5 linked regions of the Coturnix japonica genome follow. The protein of the gene in region 1 interacts with the protein of each later gene in a biochemical or structural test. Links are inferred from orthologs where the notes say so. Each region holds a gene or a part of one and is shown in the gene's direction. Other genes may lie near its edges.

What was found.
Region 2: the proteins of BMP7 (region 1) and ACVR2A are reported together in a solved structure, tested with the Homo sapiens proteins (2 studies listed by BioGRID, with this or other methods). The link is inferred for Coturnix japonica from reciprocal best matches to the Homo sapiens genes BMP7 and ACVR2A.
Region 3: the proteins of BMP7 (region 1) and ACVR1 form a complex in vitro, tested with the Homo sapiens proteins (2 studies listed by BioGRID). The link is inferred for Coturnix japonica from reciprocal best matches to the Homo sapiens genes BMP7 and ACVR1.
Region 4: the proteins of BMP7 (region 1) and BMPR1A form a complex in vitro, tested with the Homo sapiens proteins (2 studies listed by BioGRID). The link is inferred for Coturnix japonica from reciprocal best matches to the Homo sapiens genes BMP7 and BMPR1A.
Region 5: the proteins of BMP7 (region 1) and BMPR1B form a complex in vitro, tested with the Homo sapiens proteins (2 studies listed by BioGRID). The link is inferred for Coturnix japonica from reciprocal best matches to the Homo sapiens genes BMP7 and BMPR1B.

Annotation. Positions count from the first base shown.
Region 1 is NC_029535.1:10,587,492-10,591,270, forward strand, and holds the end of BMP7 (bone morphogenetic protein 7), read left to right. Parts: intron 1-515; coding exon 516-665; 3' UTR 666-3,272; downstream 3,273-3,779. UniProt on the Homo sapiens protein: Growth factor of the TGF-beta superfamily that plays important role in various biological processes, including embryogenesis, hematopoiesis, neurogenesis and skeletal morphogenesis.
Region 2 is NC_029522.1:31,390,544-31,394,804, reverse strand, and holds the start of ACVR2A (activin receptor type-2A), read left to right. Parts: upstream 1-1,457; 5' UTR 1,458-2,774; coding exon 2,775-2,829; intron 2,830-4,261. UniProt on the Homo sapiens protein: On ligand binding, forms a receptor complex consisting of two type II and two type I transmembrane serine/threonine kinases.
Region 3 is NC_029522.1:29,815,636-29,819,147, forward strand, and holds part of ACVR1 (activin receptor type-1), read left to right. Parts: intron 1-2,050; coding exon 2,051-2,181; intron 2,182-2,865; coding exon 2,866-3,000; 3' UTR 3,001-3,512. UniProt on the Homo sapiens protein: Bone morphogenetic protein (BMP) type I receptor that is involved in a wide variety of biological processes, including bone, heart, cartilage, nervous, and reproductive system development and regulation.
Region 4 is NC_029521.1:1,763,886-1,767,904, forward strand, and holds the start of BMPR1A (bone morphogenetic protein receptor type-1A), read left to right. Parts: upstream 1-1,216; 5' UTR 1,217-1,323; intron 1,324-1,766; exon of another isoform or gene 1,767-2,028; intron 2,029-4,019. UniProt on the Homo sapiens protein: On ligand binding, forms a receptor complex consisting of two type II and two type I transmembrane serine/threonine kinases.
Region 5 is NC_029519.1:52,477,003-52,481,262, forward strand, and holds the start of BMPR1B (bone morphogenetic protein receptor type-1B), read left to right. Parts: upstream 1-1,451; 5' UTR 1,452-1,504; coding exon 1,505-1,514; intron 1,515-4,260. UniProt on the Homo sapiens protein: On ligand binding, forms a receptor complex consisting of two type II and two type I transmembrane serine/threonine kinases.

The DNA of each region.
Region 1 (3,779 bases):
ATCTAAGAACAGCACCGCAAAAAGCACTAGGGAAGCCAGAAGCATCCTCATATCCAAGACAAGAAGCTTTGCATGTTCTCCTCCTGAAGGACTGTTTACTCTCCTCCCTCTCTTGGAGGCCCTGCAGCAGCAGTCAGGGACCCACAGCCCTTGGTGCCAGCCAGCACAGGGCCCCCCACACAGCACCCATGGGACTGCTCCCAAAACCTCACACGCACACCCTGCAGAGTTTATTGGAACTGGTACATTGCTGCAGAACGCTGGCTGCTCTGACAAATGGGAATCTTCTAATGAAAACCTGCTTCACTGAAAGATTTCCAACTAGATCTGACTTGGGTGCGTGCGTCAGCCTCCATCCATGCAAGGGGACATCTCGAGACATTTGTACACAAAGCCAGGTGTTCAAAACATGTCTGTGTGTGCTTATGGGGGAGAGAGGGCTGCCTGGGAAAGGAAAACATGAGGGAGGAGAAGGGAAATGGAAATCTTAACATGCCTCTGCTTTAATTCCTCAGGTTCACTTTATAAACCCAGAGACTGTGCCGAAACCCTGCTGCGCTCCCACCCAACTCAATGCCATCTCAGTGCTCTATTTTGATGACAGCTCCAACGTTATCTTAAAAAAGTACAGGAATATGGTGGTACGAGCATGTGGCTGTCATTAGATTTGTAGGGAAGAGAAAGGTTATTCATAAAGAGAGAGTTTTGTATGGATGTGTGGGGGAGGGGAAAAGGTTAGCACTGCAGCAATGGGCTCAAAAATCCCAGTTTTTAAGACTGGGCTTCTGAAAGTTCAGACAATGGAACAGTTTCTGGATCTAAGTGGCATTTGAACACATTTTGTTTTAGTTTATTACAGACAATGAGCTTGTAAACTGAAACAAGCCAGAGAAACCATTTAAAACCAAATCTGCCTGCAAAATTGGCTCCTACAACACATACTTCTGCAAACGAGTCTTTCAGAAGACTGCAAATTCACCAATGTTGATTGTGAATTAAAAATGAATAATTATCCAAAGCGAGAATGCGCTGTGACTATTGAACATGTGTAGTTCCTGTAACACAGTTTGCAATAAAGTAAGTGAACAAAATATACCTGGAGTGAACAGGTATTTTGTTAGAGAATTATTACTTCCATCCCTCTGTTTGCAACTATTTCATAAGCAGGAGCAATTTTAATTGGATGCAAGTTCCAGTTTTAAATGGCAGGAGCAGAAGCGATATCTGGATTGAATGGAGTTCAAAAGGACAAACCAGACTGAGGAAAAGAACACTGTAATGGGCAAGTAAAAGAACTGAAGGAAGTAACTCCAAAGAACAAGACTTTGGAGGTATACTTCTTTTTCCTCAAGAGAAAAGAAACTTCCTGTAGCAACCAGAAAGAATTTACGTGCTATGAGTTTGAAACAGGAAAGCAGCACAACATTAAGAAACAATCTGGGATTAAACCTAACGCTTAGCTGGGGTACCTCGATCAGCTACAGAGTTGTGAAAGACAGCTGAAGATCCTGCTCCTGTTTGGAAAACATCCATTGACTTCAGTGACAGAACAAACTCCTCTTTTGAAAGACGTGAAGTCAGAAGGTGCTGTGAGCACAGACAAACTGCCAACACCACCCCAGCACAGCTATAGGGACATTGCAGGGGACCTTACATCCCAGGGTCAGTGATTGCAATAGAAGACACTGCTCTACTACTGGTCTCATCTCTGAAAACAACAACAAGCAAAACGCAAACAAAAAAAACCCACAACAACTTTCAGGAGCCACATCAACAAGCTGGAACCAGGAACAAGAAACCACCCCTTTGCCTTCTTTTAAAAGCACAGGTTACACAAGCATCACATTTATGCAATTTAAACTTGAAGTCATTGTGATAAGAATACAGAATAGCAGAAACCAATCACAAGCTAACTCAAAACTTGGGCATACATTACAACTACAGAAGCAGGACTGGCATGAATTTTACTGGAGAGAAAAAGGTTCTGTCCAAATAAACGCCAGGTCCTCAGCAAACGCAGCTCTAAATCCTCAAACTTCTGAAGTCTGGACCTCTAATAGATGGGTCCAGAACATCATTAAGTGCCTTGACGTGGTTCTCAGCACACTGAGGGGATGTGATACAGCTGCAGGGGGAACTCAGCCCCAGGTCCATCCTTAGAGGACGGAGAGAAAGAAGATAACAGAATGCAACCACGAGAATTTGGAAATCAGACACTGCTCCTCTTCCTTTAGCCACAGACCAAATCCAGACCAGATGGCTTATTTAAAAAGCAAACAAACAAGTAAAGGAAGAAAAAGATTACTCTATGAAATAAATTGGAAACTTGTTTCTGATGGTCTAATAGCATTTAAGTCAACTGGTGTTTTCCTAACAGTTCTCTCAGCAGCAGGATTAGGCTTATGGGAACGTGGAAGTCTCCCCACGATATTGGTAGGCTTTGGATCTCCAGATGCGCCCCACTTCCAAACCAGACAACTCAAATGTGTGCAGGAACGGCCCACCCACAGCACAACGCTGCAGAGAACCTCCAACCTGCAGCAAGGAGAGACTGACCAAGGTGTCACCCACAGCCACGACAACTACTGAAGCCAAACATGTCTCCCTGGAGCCTGCAGAGAAGACCATCTATAGCAGTCAAGTCAAAACTGCCCTCGGGCATCTCTTAGAGGGAGGTATTGAAATCCTACAGCTCAGAAACATCTTTGGACATTGTATATGTATGTACACCAGTGTTTCTGTAAGCCTCCTAAAGGTAAGGTGCTACACCTAGAAGTTATGAGCTAATCAGACCTAAATTTCCACTATTTAGTAGACAAGGATTAGTTTTTCTTGCAACTGTTTCTGTGCTGGTGGTCACAGCATTGGTGTATTGCATTTTTTTTTTAACTTGGACTGCAGTATCTTGCTGTATAGGATTCATATATTAAATATTATGTGGGGGTTGTTTGTTTGTTTGTTCTTTTCCACATAATAGGATTTCTGTTGCTAGGCTTAACATCAGCTTCACTGTTTGTACATTTTTATGTAAATAGTTGTCACAAAGCAGAAGAATTATTTATTTCCATCTCTGAATTCCTTTTCAATCACATCCAGGAAAAATGATTCTCAGTTCCTAAGCACATTTGTTTCCTTATTTAAGAAGATATTTATTAACAGTTGGCAAAAAATGCATACACATTTCTGGTTCTTCTCATAGAGCAGTTGTCAGAAGCCTTTTGTACAAACTAGTAAAATAAATCATTGCGACTTTACAAAAGATATCCCAACAACATCGTGTATCTGTGTGGTTTTTCTCCCTGTGTTCATAGAACCTTTTAGGCCGGGCAATATTTCACCTTGAGCATCTGTTTCCACATAGCTCAAACTCTGTGAATTGGCAAAACCAGCACATCACTGCTTGGTGCAGCTCCTTCTGTCCAAACACAACAGAGGAAAGAATATGAACAACAACAACAAAAAAATGAATATGTTTTGCAGAGCGCATTGCAAAGATCTATGATTGAATTATAGTGCAGCTGTCAGCAGCTGTTTCAAAGAAGTGGGGGGTAAATTAGTTCTGTTTACTGCTAACATAGTTCAGAGATTTAGTCATCCCAATAAAATTATAGAGGCACAAGGAAGGAAAAAAGAAACTCCAAGGGAACATCAGCCAAGAAGCTGACATTTTCTAATTTAGATTGTTTTAGCATATTTCGGAGATGCTGCTGGCAGGAGGTTTCCTACTGTGGATACCACATTGCATTGCTATGGAGGCAGCTGAAAAAAATAATGGTCTA
Region 2 (4,261 bases), on another chromosome or scaffold:
AGGATCGCTGCTTTTGTGGATGGCCAGGAGGCTCCACTCTGCTCAACTGACACTGCAGGCAAAGACCTGCCCATGGTTAAGAACAAGGAGCAACTTGAGAAATCTCGAGATACCTCCTTCCTTCCTACAAAATTCATGCAAATGTTACACAGGTGGCATATTTGTGCTATTATATCTATCTATCTATATATATAAACACATACAATGGCAATATTTTTAGCTGTAATTTCCTGCTCATGTGGCAACACGACAAGCATCCCGAAGAAGCTGAGCAAAGTGAAAACGCAACCTGCAGAACAGGTCACGTTTAAATACTCTGCTATTGAAGAATATTAAAAGCTACAGATTAAGTAGGAGTGTTGTAATGCATTAATTAATGCTTGTAAATCATCCTGAAATGCCTGGATTAAAAAAAATGGCATAAAAAGTGTTGCCACACATCCCGGTGCTTCATGATGCGCACGATCCCATACGGCTTGTTTGATTTTGGGGTATTTTTCCAATCAAAAACGTCACTGGAGGATGACTTTGTGTTGGTGTTTGAAGTGAGGATCATAGAATCATTAAGGTTAACAAAGAGCTCTGAGATCCCCATGTGGACCCACCCCCCATGCCCACATCCAGGGCACATCCATGGGATGGTAACCCCCACCCGGTGCAGCTGTGCAGTGCCTGGCTGCTCTCTGGAGAACAAATGGCTCCTCGTATCTACTCTGAACCTCCTCCAGCACAACTTGAGGCCATTACCCAGCCTTGACTTACGTTTGGTGGCCCTGCCAGGCAGAGGGGTTGGAACTACATGATCCTTGAGGTCCCTTCCAACCCGGGTCATTCTGTGATTGACTTGCAAACCCACACATGTGAATTACCTCGCACACAGCACCCAATGTAGCACCACGTAACGACAGCTCCCCACCAAGGGAACTTGGACCGTAACCCTCCAATGCACATCTATAGTTAGTGATGTAGTTATTGAGAACTTGGTGCTTCTTGCTTCAGAAATACAGAAGTTAAATCCCAGCGCTGAGGCCTTTGTGCTTCCCCACATCAGTCCTCAACACCTAAACAAGCATTTCTTTATCCCTGATGCAAACTATGGGCATCTATTAAAGCCACCAACGGGGCATTAAATAAAGGAGGGCTTCCCACCGCAGTCGTTACACAGAGCAGCTCTGAGGGCGGCGCGAGCACCACGCCCTGAGGCGGGAAGGCGGGGCGCGTGCACGCAGCCCGCTCGCGCGCCTCCTCAGCCGTGCGCGCGCACACGCGGGCAGGTGGGAGGGGAGGGGAGGGGGGAGCGCGCCCCGCCCCCTCGGGGTGGGTCTGGAGGGGGGCGGGGCCGAGCGGCGCTCCTCGCGCTGTGATTGGGCGGCGCGGCTGTCAATCCGATGCGGCGCGCTCTCGCACGGCGTGTCTTGCCGGGCTGCCGTGAGTGTGGAGGGGAGGGGGGGGAGGGGGAGGAGGAGAGGAAACAAAAACAATCGGCCGGGCGCCGCCATCTTGGGTCCGTTCTCCACGCCACACAAGTGAATGGGTAGATATGAAATTACCACAGGGGAGCAGCGGCAGCAGCAGGGTACGGAGGGTCGTTCCGAGCTGCAGGTTGGACTTGGGAGACTTTAGAGACGGCTCCAACCACCAGCACCGCCCGCAGATCGAAACCGGGCTCGGCCTTTTCTCCTCGGCAACCCTCAAACCGCACTGCTGGAGGGACAAAGTTGGTGTCCGCCGCTCTGACAACGGCAAAAGGGAGACGGGAGAGACCAGCCGAGATCCGAGCGGGACGGGAGTGAGGCGGGAGGAGAGCTAAGGACCGGGAGATAAGGACTGAGGGCTGCGAGCTCAGGGCTGAGGGCTGGGAGCTCAGGGCGGCACGAGGGCTTCTCCTTGTCAGCCCTTCTCCTGTGGGCCCTTCTCCTGTCGGTCCTGCTTCTCTTTTGCGTTTATTTGTTTGTTTTTCCCTCAAAAGCAGCAGACTCGTTGCGGGGCGATGTCCCCGGGGGCTGCCGAGGGAAGGGCCCTGCGGGCGGCCGTGCAGCCCTGAGCGGCCCCGCGGAGCGCAGCCACCGGGAGCCGTGCCTGGCCTTGCCGTTGCTTTGCTCTTTATTTTCTTTATTATTATTTTTTTCCCTTCATTTTGCGTTTAAATACCAAGCCGAGTCTCGGGGGAGCTGGGTGGGTGGGGGGGGCATGGAAGCATCGTAGGGGGAGGAATCGTCGTAGAGGGGGGGAATCGTAAATCGTGTTTCCCGTAGCGGAGCGCTCAGCCCCGCTGCCGCTCGGACTGTCGGAGCGCTGCCCGGAGCCGCCATGGAGCCACCGCGCTGCCCGGAGCCCCGCGCTGCATAACGGGAACCGGGACATAGAGCGGGGAAACACGGAGCTTCATGACGGAGTGAGCGCCGATACACACCGCCTCGGATCGCACCCGGCGGCTCCGCCGTTGACTTCAATCAATCTTCCTTTATTTGCCGTGGATTCGTAGCGTACTTTTGTGAATTAAATCCCGCCGCTCTTGGTCCAGAAGCCAAATGACACGTGTGTTTTGAAACGCCGCTCACAATAGTTCGAGCCCCCCCGAACCCGGATTCTCGCTTTGAAGCGACCGTCGGTCTCCAAACGACCCCGATTTTACTGTTTGGTGAACACTATCAACGGAGAAGTTTGCTCTAGATCGCTTTATAACGGTTCCGCAAGAAGAGGGGATTGTCCGGCTTGCAGGACCGAGAAACTGGATGCTAAAAGTCACTTAAATGTTCTAACGCCATTGGAAAATGGGAGCTGCTACGAAGTTAGCGTTCGCTGTTTTTCTCATCTCGTGTTCTTCAGGTGAGTGCGTGCTTTTGTTGCTTTGGGCTCAGCTGTTGGAAGCACGAGGTGATTGTATCGGTGGGACGAGAGGTCATTTCTTGAGATGAGGTTTAGGTTGGATACCAGGAGGAAGTTTTTCCCCCAGAGGGTGGTGATGCACTGGAATAGTTTCCCCAAGGAGGCTGTGGATGCCCCATCCCTGCAGGCATTCAAGGCCAGGCTGGATGTGGCTCTGGGCAGCCTGGGCTGCTGGTTGGTGACCCTGCACACAGCAGGGGGTTGGAGCTGGGTCAGTTTGTGGTCCTTTTCTATCCAGGCCGTTCAGTGAGTCTATGAAATGCCAAACGTTTGGGGATGGCAGTGAAAGATTCCTGTTCTCACTGTCATTCCCCGGTGCACAACTCTTTCAGGTACGTGCAGTGCTCATAGTGCTCGTGTGGGTCCCACCCGGGGCTGTGCCCACCTCGTTCACTTGTGGGCAGTTCCCGGCCTCGTGTTTGCTCCAGTGGATTATTTACCAAGCTGTGAAATATTCCGAACTTAATTTAGGGCTCTGGAAGCGTCCAGCGGTGGATGGCAACCTTCATTAATGCTTCATTAGTTCGGAATAATTGCTGTTGTGAAAGCATGAGCTCATCCCGCACCGATAGCGAGGGCTGAGCACGTATCGGTGCGTGCACCGAAACAGCCCGAAAAGCCAGACTTTCCATTTCCGAACAGTGATTTGTGTTCAGCTGTTGGGTTTCGTGTTTTGCCGTTCGGTTTTTCACTTTCTTAGCGCCTGAAACCCGGCGGTCGTGCTGTGGCTCTCAGACCTCAGAGACGAGCGGTGTGAGAGGCTCCATCCTTTGGGCTGGGAGGGAAATGGTGATGGAGCAACCGGTGGCTGGAGAGCTGCTGCCACCAGCTGCACCTGAAACCTGCAGAGCTGTGTAACACTCGATGTGTTGCTCGTGTGCTGAGCCTGACCCTTCCTGCTCACGTGCTGAATGTGTGTGCAGCCCTCTGTGTGTGTGTCGATGCACTTTTGGGCTCTGTTCTGTGCAGTGCAGGGACACACTTGTTGCTCATCCTGAAGGCCGGCTGGCTTTGTGCGGGACTGCTCCAGGGCGGTAATGAGATCTGCAGAGCGATGATGCCTTTGAAAACTTCAGCCTTAGGATGCGAGGGATTTTGCTGAACGGCACATTTTCTTGTGGTTAGTAAATGGATAGTCTAGTCTTGTGTCTGTAGTGTTATTGATCAGTTCCGTGTGGGCTAAATGTGCTGTGAAATGGCGATCTCTGCCAGGGAGAAACTGAAAAAAACCCTTTCTGTTTTAAGCAGACAAATAGCAGGGCAGGTTAGGGAGAGATGGGAGTGGTTTTTTGGGTTATTTTTCTTCAGATTAGAGTACGCCATTTATTCCTATTGCGAAACAGCAGGCGATTTCTTGCAGTGATTTTGTCCT
Region 3 (3,512 bases), on another chromosome or scaffold:
GGCTGCTGCTCAATGGCATGTGGTCTGTGTTGTGTCTGCAGGGCTGTACCTGCAGCTTTGGGGTTTGTGGAGGTCCTGTATTGCTCCACAGTGCATTTCTACATACAAGATAAGCCTTCATGCAAGTAACAGAGGATAAAGTTGAAAAAAACTGCTGCTCTGTGAGAGTTCCATTGCATTTGGTTAGCAAAAATCAGCTCTTCCAGAGAGAGAAGCGTAGGGTGTTGTCAGTGACAGAAGTCGTTAAGGCTGTCCAGAAAATGGAGAGCTGTAGGTTGTGCTTAGCGGGGCCTCTTGTAGTAAGAGGCTCATTTCCTTTCCTCTGGAAGTGAGAGAGGGAAATGTGCCACAGTTCAGGACAGCGATCTTGCTGGGAGGAGGCGTGTGGGTGAGAGGTGGCACTTGGTGGCTGTGCCAACCAGCTGCTGCAGCCAGCAGCTGCCCCAGGAGCATTAGGGGCTCCGCAGTTACTCTGTTGGAGTAAAGGCAAGACCATGTTGACTTTGTGTTCTAATACTGTGCCGTACCTCAAATAGCCATCTGTATGTTGTTGGTTGGAATGCTTATGTGAGCATAGGAAACTGAAACAGAGCTGGACTTGCTCAGTGATAATCTGATATTGTAATGGCACTGGCAGCACCTTCAGGACTGTACTGTGTAGCTCTGAGGGTTTGCCTGTGAATGGTGTCAAACCGCTGCTTCCATTTCAAGTGATACAGACCCAAAAGAGCTTTTTTGTATTCTTAAATTCTCACAGACTTCATTTTGTGTTCTGAGAGGATGCAGAAGGAGGACATGACCAAAGTTCAGCCCTCTAGGTGATGTTCAGTATATGCAGTTAGTTAGAAGTTGCTTGGAAACAGAATGTGGCACACACAGCATGCATGGCTCGCTGTGAGCACACGTGGCAAACCTGTGGGCTGGTAGTGGCTGTGTTCTGGGACGTCCCTTGGACAGCCAGGTCTTTGAGCTCTTTCCCAGGTGAGTTAGGATTTGCTGAAGCCCAGTCCACAGATATGGAGATTTACAGACTTTTGCTGAGTGTCTGTGGGATTTTGATCTTAGTCTTCAACAGAACAAGAGCACTAAATCCCAACAAGCACTGTAGCAAATGTTGGAGAACTGTTTTTTCTGCTCAAGTATAACTTGAAGTAAAAAGTATCCTGAATTTTGTGTGTATCTGATTATAGACCAGCTGCCAGGCTGCTAAAAAGCAGTTCTAGCTTTGTTCTGTCTGTGCTTCTGCTGTACACAGAGGACTTCATTTGCTCACTGTTTCTCCGAACTAACTTGAAACACCAGTTTTTAAACTGGCTTCTGAAGAAAGCTGAGCTCCCTGGGTCATTGATGAGCTTAATCCACAACAGCGGCAGTGCTGCACGCATGCCAGAGTGAGGAGGCAAAAGACTTTCAGCAGGCTGCTCTTATGTAACCTGGGGACAAGTGGAGAGAACACGCATTAACTTCTTGTTTACTCACTTTTCAAAGCAGAATCTTGGAAACTGCATTCAGATACCATAGCAAAGCCTATACCTGAAGATGTGCGTTGCCACTTACCCTAAGCATTTTACTGTGTTAGTAGCAGAAATGATTTTATGCGAAGCACCGGCGTGAGGGTCAGTAGATGCTGACATCCATATGGGACTCTTTCATGATGCATGGAACAGCACAAAGCGTGTCAACCCTATTGGAAACAACAGTGCAGATGATGAAATTCTGTGCTGTTCTACTAGATATCTCAGTTCTCTGGTAGCCTGTAAACCTCCATGCCTTATGAAAGACGACTTTCCAACAAGTAGATTTACCTCTTATTTTGGCTCAGGCATCTCCAAAATGGATATAGCTTTTAATTTTGCTGCATGGTAGGAGAAACTCTTGCCGTGATAGTAAGTGCTATTCTGTTTTTCTAGTGACTGTTTAGCACGGCAGTGTGGAGTCTTACAGGTATTTTTGTGCTTCTCTGGTGGCTGGTTCACACATGCTGGCTTTGCAGAGGTGCTCTTTCACTGACAGCCATTTAATAATGCCTCTCTTGGTTGTATTTCACTAGGTATTGTAGAAGACTATAAACCACCGTTTTATGACCTGGTTCCCAATGATCCCAGTTTTGAAGACATGAGGAAAGTGGTCTGTGTAGATCAGCAAAGGCCAAACATTCCCAACAGGTGGTTCTCAGACCCTGTGAGTAGACGTTCCGGTGTATGGTTTGTAAAAGCTGACCCCTCTCCTGACCTGAAGCCATGCGAACTGCTCCTATAACCATCTGAAGCTGAGATCATCTCAGTGCTACTTGCCAGCATAGGTTTCAGACCCATCTATGTGTGCACCTTGATGTTACAGAAGGAAGAAAACTCGATGAGCAGACTGTTAAATCTGAGCTATTCTCACACTGGCCCTTCAGTAGTAAGAATTAATAATTGTTTTCACGCTACTCTTCCTTTGTTATTACTCACTTTCCAAGGGAGGGTGTACATGGGGGAAATGAAGCCTGTTAGGCCTTTCTGTGGCTCATAAGCACACAGACTTGGAGCAGTGCTCTGATTCCCCTGCCTCCATGATAAGGGACAGTTCTCTCTGAAAGGCGACTGCTGCTTGAAGTTTTCCTTCACCACAGTCAGTCTGGACCCCTCAGACTACTGTTCTAAAGTTGTGATGGTTCGACACCGCAGTCAGCCCATTGTTGAGTCACTTATTCTCTTTAATTATCAAACTCTACTTTTCAGCACTCAAAAACTGGTCTATTTGAAATGCCTAATAGATGATGCGTAAGGTGGTAAAGCCATTCTGTGTTAGGGCCCAACCTATTGCTGTTCTGGCTTGTGATTTGTGTACTTACATGTGTGTTTTGTTGTTATTCTTTTCCAGACGTTAACATCTCTTGCCAAGTTGATGAAAGAATGCTGGTATCAGAATCCATCAGCACGACTAACAGCCCTGCGAATCAAAAAGACTTTGACCAAAATCGATAATTCCTTAGATAAACTGAAAGCTGACTGTTGACCTTCTTCTTGTGGTGCTTTCCTGACAGGAAGGCACGTGTCTGGCTCAGAGGCAGCCCAGCCAGGCAGTTCGTGTAGTCGGTCCCCATGTGGCTTCTTACAGAGGCAGCAGCTCCTACCAAGCCATCCATCTGGGAGACACCGGAACCATATGGACTTTGCTCAGTGACTGCAGTGGGCATTTCACAAACGGTCAAGCTATAAAGACTCATGCTGGATGTACTGTTGCAAAGGTAGTGGCCTGAAGGAAGACAGAGAAATCCTAAGACAAGATCAGGGCATTAAATAATGGCTTTGAACAGCTTCCCCCCCCCTCCCCAACCCCCCCCTTTTTGGTTGTTTTATCTTTAAATTCTCCTAATCACTCCCAGGGTGAACACGCGGAAGTGGTAATTTTAATCAGCAATATTGCCTGTGCTTCTCTTCTTTATTGCACTAGGAATTCTTTGCATTCCTTACTTGCACTGTCACTGTTAATTTTAATGACATGACTTGCCAAAAATACGATTGGCT
Region 4 (4,019 bases), on another chromosome or scaffold:
TAGCAGACAAAAATGGAGCTGGACTGTGTAGAGGTCAGCACAACGAGCAAAGCAGGGTTTCCCACATCATACACACATGTGGCTAAGTGAGATTCCTTCCCAATTGGTTACTATCCAAAAACAGCTTATCTGGGCAGGCAAATGGCCTAAAGGGTGTCTTGGTCAATAGCAGAGGGAAAGCGAGCAGGTTAGTGTGGTCTTTGTTTCCCCCTATAGTTGGCCCCGTGTACAAAATTCTTGGCACAGAACTGTGTAATGGGACCATGTCAACATGAGAGTCTGTTGAGTGCAAGGTTCAGCCCATGCAAGCTGCTCATCCCATGGCACAGTGTTATGAAGCTCCTTCTGCACCACTGTTGGGAGACAGACAGACAAATTGGTACTTGGGTAATGTGTCCTAATGACGACGAGCTCAGAAATGCAATGCAAATCATAGCCTTCAGCAGCCTTATCAGCAAGCAGAGAAGCTCAGTGCAGAAGGTATGATGTATTCCAATCTAACCAGCCAGCTTCGTTTATTTAAAGAAACAGGAAATGGAAAAAAGCAAAACGAACAACTCCGTTCACCATAATGCCACTCTTATCTCTCCTACGGCACTGGGATGCCAAGCTTTCCAAGGATCAGCGTGAGCAGTGATCCACGGGCAGCTCCCATCGTTACCCTATGCCCCCCAAACAAAGGAGCTGCGATATCCCCACCTCCGCAGCGCACCCGGCCGCGCTGCCCCTCGCACCTCTCTGTCTCCTCCTACAGGAGCTGCCGCGCCTTTGCACCGGCAAAGCTCTGCTCGACGGCCCTTCGGCCGGCGGTGCACGGAGCCCCATGCGGCATCTCCACCCAGGAGAAGAGCTCCTGGGGAGGAAGAGCGGCCGGCTTTTTCTCGGTGTGCCCCGGCAGCCCTCCCGCCCAGCGCACGTGTCAATAGAAGCGGCAGCGCTCCTAGGAGCGGTCTCACGCCTCTCCCCGGCAGCCGATGGAGCTGCTGCTGCTTCGCGCTCGTCCCCATTCTCCCCCTCCTTCCTCCGTGCGCGCGGCCGGGCTCCACGGGTGCCGTGATTGGAATCCGGCTCCGTCCCGCCCCGCCCGCCCTCCAGCTCCGCAGGGACGCGCCGGGCGTCGGGAGCGCTGCCGGGGAGCGAGCCTGCGCCGCCCCGCCCCGCCCCGCCCCGCCCCGCCCTCCCCCTCCCGGCTCTCGGCCGCCTTCGCTCCCGTCTTACAGGAGCCGTCGGGGTTCCGGGCGCGGCCTGCGTAACGCAGCGGGAGCGGCTCCGTGTTGCTTCGCCTTCCGTCCCGCCGCAGAGGATGAGGAGCCTCCAGGAGCGGTGAGTGCGGGGTCGTGCCGGGCGGTGTGGAGCGCCGCGCCCCGCTCCTGCGTTCCACCCCTTCTCGGCCCGCGGGGCTCCGAGCACCGGGCCCTCGTCCCGCCCCCGGCCCGCTCTCCCCGTCGGCTGCGGGCTCGGCCCTTCTGCTCCGAGCTCTCCGGCCCGGCCGCTCTCCCCGCCGAGCGCCCTCCGCGGGTCGGGCCGATGCTCGGAGACCGTCGGCGGGCGAAGCGCGGCGGCTCCCGGGGCCGGCGGCTTCCTGCGTGGGCACGGGGCCGCCTGCGGGGCCGGGCAGGCCCGGCGCACGCCGCTCTGTCTGGCCGCCTTCGCCCTCCCCCTGCGTCTGCGCCCGCGGTGTTGTAATTCCAGGCGCGGTGCCGAGCCGGCGGCTGAGCGGGGCCTGCGAGCGGCTCCGGGAGGCCGCGGGGAGCGGGGGGACGGCACTAATGCCGAGCCGTGACCCGCCGCTGCTGGGCGGTGAGGAGCCGCCTGGGCATCCCGCGGCACCGTGAGCGTCCGCCGTCCGGTTCCGGTTAAACCTGGTGACGAGATGTCCCGAAGAGGCTGAAAAACTTGAATGGCCTTTCATCAGCCTTTCATCTTCTGTACGACTAAGAGTGAATTCGGCATCAAGGAGCGGTGGGAGGCTGTAGCGCGGTCGTGTGGCCTGTTGTGATGAAGGCCGTACAATGGGGACGCTTCCAGGTGCGGAGTGGTTGTGTTTGTGAGCTGTGTTTTGTTGTGTTTTGCGTTCCTTGAGGACGGGTAACGATTTGCTGGGTTCCATACCCTGTCAGCTGCTTGGTGCCTGCCCTCTGTGCGAGTGGAGCAGCTCCTTCTATGATGGCCTGGGCTCAAACTGTTCCTTGGTTCTCAGTAGAACCTTATGTTGGAGTAAGGAGCTGCATGAGACCGGTTGATATTCAGACCTGCTCTTCCAGCCTATAGTTAGTAAGACCCCCACGTTGTGGCATTGGTAGCAGCCTGAAAATATTACTTGAATACTTGTTGACAGTGTGTATCCTTTGTGTCTTTACTTTGGTTACTTTCGTATAGATCTTTCAACACTTGCGGTTTGTTGTGTTAGGGTCTGTGTGGTTTGTATTTCTGTATGGACACATGCATGCCCTGCAGGCTCTGAGTGTGGAGCTCTGTCAGAGATATTAATGCATAGTTGCAATCTTCAGTTGCCAGTTCTCTGTATATGCCTTTGGTCTCTCTGTTTGGAGACAGTGAATTCATGTGGGCTGACTGGAATCCTTCTCTTTAAAATGAGAAAGATATGGTTTGGAAGGGACCTCTGGATGTCACTGGGTCCAGCCCCTGCCCAAAGCAAGGGGGTTCAGCTAACTTCCTTTAGAAAGGACATGTGCTTCCCATAGATGAAAGTTACTGTGATCTGAGTTGTCACAAAGCATTGGGCTGCAAAGAAAAAAGCACGCTGAAGAAACAATAAATAGCTTTGTCTACTTCCTGGAGTCCTGAAAAGCAAGCAGTAGGTGGGTGGCTTAGGGTTGTATTTATTTTCTGCCTTGGTTTAAAGGTAGGAATGACAACAGGGTTGTATTTGTTCTCCAAGAAGCAAATGGGACATAATGTGACTACCAAATGATACTTGTGGATGGCAACTTCCGTAGTGAGGATGGTATCTCCTTGTAGTGCAGCTAAATGTCTGACACATGGAGCTTCTGAAGCTCTGCTAAGCATAGATGGGTAAACAGACAAGATGGCATGTTCTACAGATGCAAGTGTTCCTCCCTTGCTTTTGTCAGGCATCGGATCTTTCTGTCTGTGTGAGGTTTTTGGTTCCTCGTTTGAGGGGGGGGGGGGGGGGGGGGGGGGACAGAGAACGTCTTCAGTGCCTGGGTTTTGCTTCACATACCTTAATATTTTCTGTAAATAAATCACGTAAGTCACTTCAGAGCTGTTATATGTAGGTACTGATGGAGTGCTTAGACACGTTAATGTTCCTCAAATGTGTGTGGGGGTGGGGGGCAGTGTGTGTACTTGATTTTTGACGGCTGCCTTGCCTGTAGCAGCTGATGATTTAGTGCCTTTTCTTCCCTGAACGAGAGCTGCAAAAATCTTTTGCAGTTGCTCTACCAAACCCTCGCTGATTATTCCTAGTCATGGTGATGTCATGGAGTCTCTGTGCTTTCTGAAACATTCGGTGCTTTAAAGGGAAAGCAAGGAATTTCTGTCTCTCTTTCCTGTCGTCACTTAAAAGTCGCAGTGAAGTCTGTAGAGCAGTTGATTTTTCTCAGAAATAGTCATTTTATCTACCCCCCCCCCGAGTTATTCTTTTAACTCAGTATAGCTCTTGTGTGAGGGATTCGGTCCAAAAACACACCGAGTACTTTGTGCTCTAGGCGTATGTTTTGTGCTTCCCTCAACAAAACAAAGCAATTTTTCTCCTGCTCTTTAATATCAAGGATTTCATTTTCCTCTAGGGAGGGTGAATGTTAGGTTCCCTTTGTTTTCCTATGAGGCTGTGTCCTTGCTGAGAGAGTAAGCTGCAGCCTCTTGCTGGTCTGACCACTGTGTGAGATGGAGCACTCCAGAACTGCATGGGAATCGCAGCAGTGAGAGGACACTGAAGTTTACTGTAGTCAGTTGACAACTGGAGTATTTTGTATCAGTGTTTTTAGTGTAACATGAGGCTCGAGTTCTTCATTTGTGCTACATCAGAGATGAGA
Region 5 (4,260 bases), on another chromosome or scaffold:
ATGATTTTAAAAACAGGTAGTTTAAAAGGGGAAGAAAAGTGGATTTAATACAGGTTGTAGTGATATTGCTAAGGTTGGTAATGCTCATTGAGAGATAGCCCCACAGTCTGTTTAGAAAACAGAAAGAATCTTTGTACTTGCAGCAAGTAGATAACGATGATATACTGAACTCCTTGTATCAAGTAGATAAGGAAGTTCTGCTTTGAATCAGCTCATTTTGTGTAAGCAAGGATTGTGTAATCAAGGCAAGGAGCTAACTGAGCATGCATGAATACTGGGTTTGACCAGTGAACGCGGTAAAATTCTGACTAAGGATCTTGCGACCACCACCATAAAAAGATGGAGCATGTGCAAGGAGGCAGAACCCTATGTTAATGATTTTGAGGAAAGTATTGAACATGTATGTACTGACCAGGAAAGCTTTTGAATATCTAAGACAAGTAATATATATATATAAGGTGTAGGTAGAGAATATCCCCCATGCATCCAGCGTTGATAAGAAAGAATGCCAGCATTCTAAGCTTTATGGTATCAAATTCAGTTTCAGATGGGGTACTTTTGTCTTTTCAATCAACATTATGTGCTTACCCTGCTTCATGTCTATATTGCAATCATATTTTTCCCCGATAAAACATGTAGATACTAATGATTGCAAATGCATTAAATCAGTTTTGATCTATCATAGCTTTCTGACATTTGCAAACTAAACCCACTGATGAAAACTGATGTAGAGTAAAATTATGTTTCTGCAGTCAAATTGCATATTATTTATGCCGAGCTTACGTGTGTTACAAAAGAGTTACTCATTGACTTTTTCATTAGAATCCAGTCTTTTTGCCTAACAGAGGATGCATCATGAAACCTAGCAGCTCCTCATATTGTTGCACTTTTCTATAATCTTAAAAGCTTTCTGATGGCTTCTATTCATTTTCTCAATAGATTTTAATTACTACTGATCCTGAGCAATTTGTTTAATAAGGCCCCAACTGTCTGTGTAATTATTCCAATCTGTGCCTCTTTCTCAGCTTTTGCCTGCAAGGCTGATAAATGGGGCGAGGGGAAAAGGGCAGCCTCCTGCGCCGGGCTGCAGAGCACTGTTCCCGCTTTGTCTCTGGCATTCCCAATGGGGAACTCCCTTTGAAAGAGCTGCTGTGATGGAGGGTGCGGGAGAGCTATGGAAATATTATTCAGCTTAATTTAAGAAATCTGCATAAATATCAGTCATGGCAAACAGCTTCCTTATCTTACAAAATATTGCATTTTTATGGCTACTGTATTGTTTCCCAGCATTTTGCGGCCATAATATCAGCTTACTCATGAGATCCCTGATTATATAAGGAGCAGAGTGAAGTTTCTCTGTGCTTGTAGAGTTTAAGAGGAATGATAAATTTGGTCTGGATTATAGGTGTATTTTTTGCAGTTTAGAGTGAATGCTAATGATGAATCTTCTTCATGTTTTTATAGGTACTGACCTTTTTGGCTGCTGTTTTGGTTATGCACAATTATGAGATCAGGTACAGGGATTTCAAATCTTGGTTATACTTGTGTGCAGAAGCACAGTAGAAGTTGTACTGTGTGTCTTTTCTGTATTTGTTTCCCAGTATGTTCTAGACTTTTCTGTCCTTTGGAGAATAAATTGTATAATGTTTTTTCTTCATTTTAACTCAGCCCATTCTGATAGCATATGGTCAAATTCCAGCTGAAACGTTTTTTTTTGTTCAGTGTCACCTTTAGATCAGAAAATGAAATGTGAAATAGATTAAGGAAAAGAACAAAAAGCACTCACAAATGAGAAGGCATGCTTTTTAATAGCTGGAAGGATACACGCAGTGTCATGGTTAAAAAGCAAGATTGCAGACTACCTTGTCTATAGTGAATATACCTCCATTTGTATGTTTAACATTAGTTCAGCACAGGCAAATTCTTCTTCTTGGGAAGTTCAAAAAACAAAATGAAGTGTTTTATGCTTATCCAAGACCTTTGCTTTTTCTGTTCAGGAACAGTTTGCTGTTGTTTTTTCTTTCATTCTATCCATATATGTCCATGAAGTTTGCATTTTCTGCATTAAAGTGCTTGTGACTGTGGATGATGTCATCCTTTCCTCCATGGACTTCCCATGAGAAGGCACAAATCAAGCGCTTTTTGGAAGCACAGGACTGAGCTAGGTTTTCTGGAAAATGATCACCTTTGAGATAAAAGCTGAAGGTATTACTTTAGAGCCTATAAGTAATCTTATTGTGAGTCTAAAGCCTTTGCTCCAGGGGAGAAGTTTACTTTAGCCTAGACTTTAGAGTAGGATTTACATTAGTATTGAAGTATATATTATGCCAGTTTTTAGTTCTGAAATAGCTGTGCTTGTTTGTGATCTGTATTCCTTTGAGTTCAGAGGTTTATGCCCCTTATTGGGGAACAACCTGCTGTACTGCCAAGTAGCTGCTAGATAAGAAATCCTGCAAAGACTTGTGTTACCAATGGATAGACTTACCCCCTCTCAGAGTGATCCTGCATGACTGGAAGGGAAATAGTGAAGCAGAACAGTGATATTGCACATCTGTGTTCTGAAATACTAATATGGAGTGGTCAGAAACCAAGTAGCTTAGAAAACCAAACCTTTTCAACCTGTAGCTTTGCATTAATGCCAGACTAGGATCTATAAACACAATCTGAGTATTTCAGAAAGGATATGACCTTATGCGCATAACCTGATGCAAGTGAAAGATCTGGATCTCCAATATTCAGTCCCTTCTGAAGGAGCTCAGCAATGAAAAGGAAAGTCTTCAACATCATAGAATCATGGAATCACAGAATGGTTTGGGTTGGAACATATTCTTAAGATCATCTAGTTCCAAGACCCCTGCTATAGTCAGGGACACCTCCCGCTAGATCAGGTTGCTCAAAGCCCCATCCAGCCTGTCCTCGAACACCTGCAGGACAGGGGCATCTACAAGCTCTGGGCAACCTGTTCTAGTGTCTCATCACTCTCAAGTAAAGAATTTCTTCCTAACATCTTGTCCAAGTCTACCCTCTTCCAATTTAAAGACATTTCCCCTCATCCTGTCACTACATGCCCTTATAAAAGTCCCTTCCCATCTTTCCTGTAAAAAATCTGTTTAATGATTCTGAGGGGGTAAAGTCAGTAAGTGTTTTGAATTTTAATTCATTGGGAAATGCATATCAGAGGTGCATGAGAACTCCAGGATACCATGGCTGAAGTTATTTGGGAGAAGTATTCACCATCAGCAGGTTGTCTCTGTAAAGAAAACACAAAATATCACAGTTCATTTCAGTGGTTAATTTTCTGTACAGGAATGTTCACAGAACTAGTATGAACAGGTTTTCTTTGAAGTTATCTCTGAATAAGGAGAACTGTAACATATGCCATGAACTAATGATGTCATTATAAGCTAGCTGCATATTTTCTTTTTTTAAAAAGTAGAAGTCTAAGCATATGATTAGCAGCAAAAACATTCTTTAATGACAAACAACAATAATTTTTCCCTTAAAACATCAGATTATAACAACTGGAGGGCAACAAATCTTCTAAAGGAAAAAGGATAGCTACTTGAATCAGACCATTATCAGCAAATCAGTTCTGTTTATGACCTTGCAAAATTTCTAGCTGTTCCAATATTGCAAAGGAAATGATAAATATTTGGCCACTGTTTGGAATAGGAATGAAATCAAGCCATTCTGCAACTCTTGAATTGGTGTTGATCTGTGTAAAACTACTTCAGATAAGATAAGCAGTGACATAGTAAAGATTTCATAGGAGCTGTCTAAATGAATAATTTCTCCGTTGCATTCTAGCGTTCTAATGGAGTGGTTAATTATAGAGATTTGTGAAAGAAGAGAAAGCTCTGGTCCTCCCATTTATCCTTTTCTCTGTGTTCTTGTGTCTCTGTTCAGTCTGTGAAATCGTTTTTTCTTACAATGCAAACATGTAGAACATCGTTTCTCCTCTATCTTCTTCATCATACTCGTGTAGCTGTTGTTCCATCTTCATTTTCACTTGCTTACAGACTCAAGGCATAATTCTCCAGGCTTGTCTTCAGTCCCACAGCTGTCTGAAACTGTTTTTTTTGCTGAGGACTTCATTAAAACTTGTATGACTTAATCTCAAAAACCCTGCATAAAACTAATCTTGATCTCCACACTACTTGTGAGGCTGTTGATCTCGCTCTGAGATTTATGATCTCTGCGGTAAAAGTTTCAGCTGACTGCCACTGTATTGTATGATTTCCTGTGCTTATTGTAACAAGG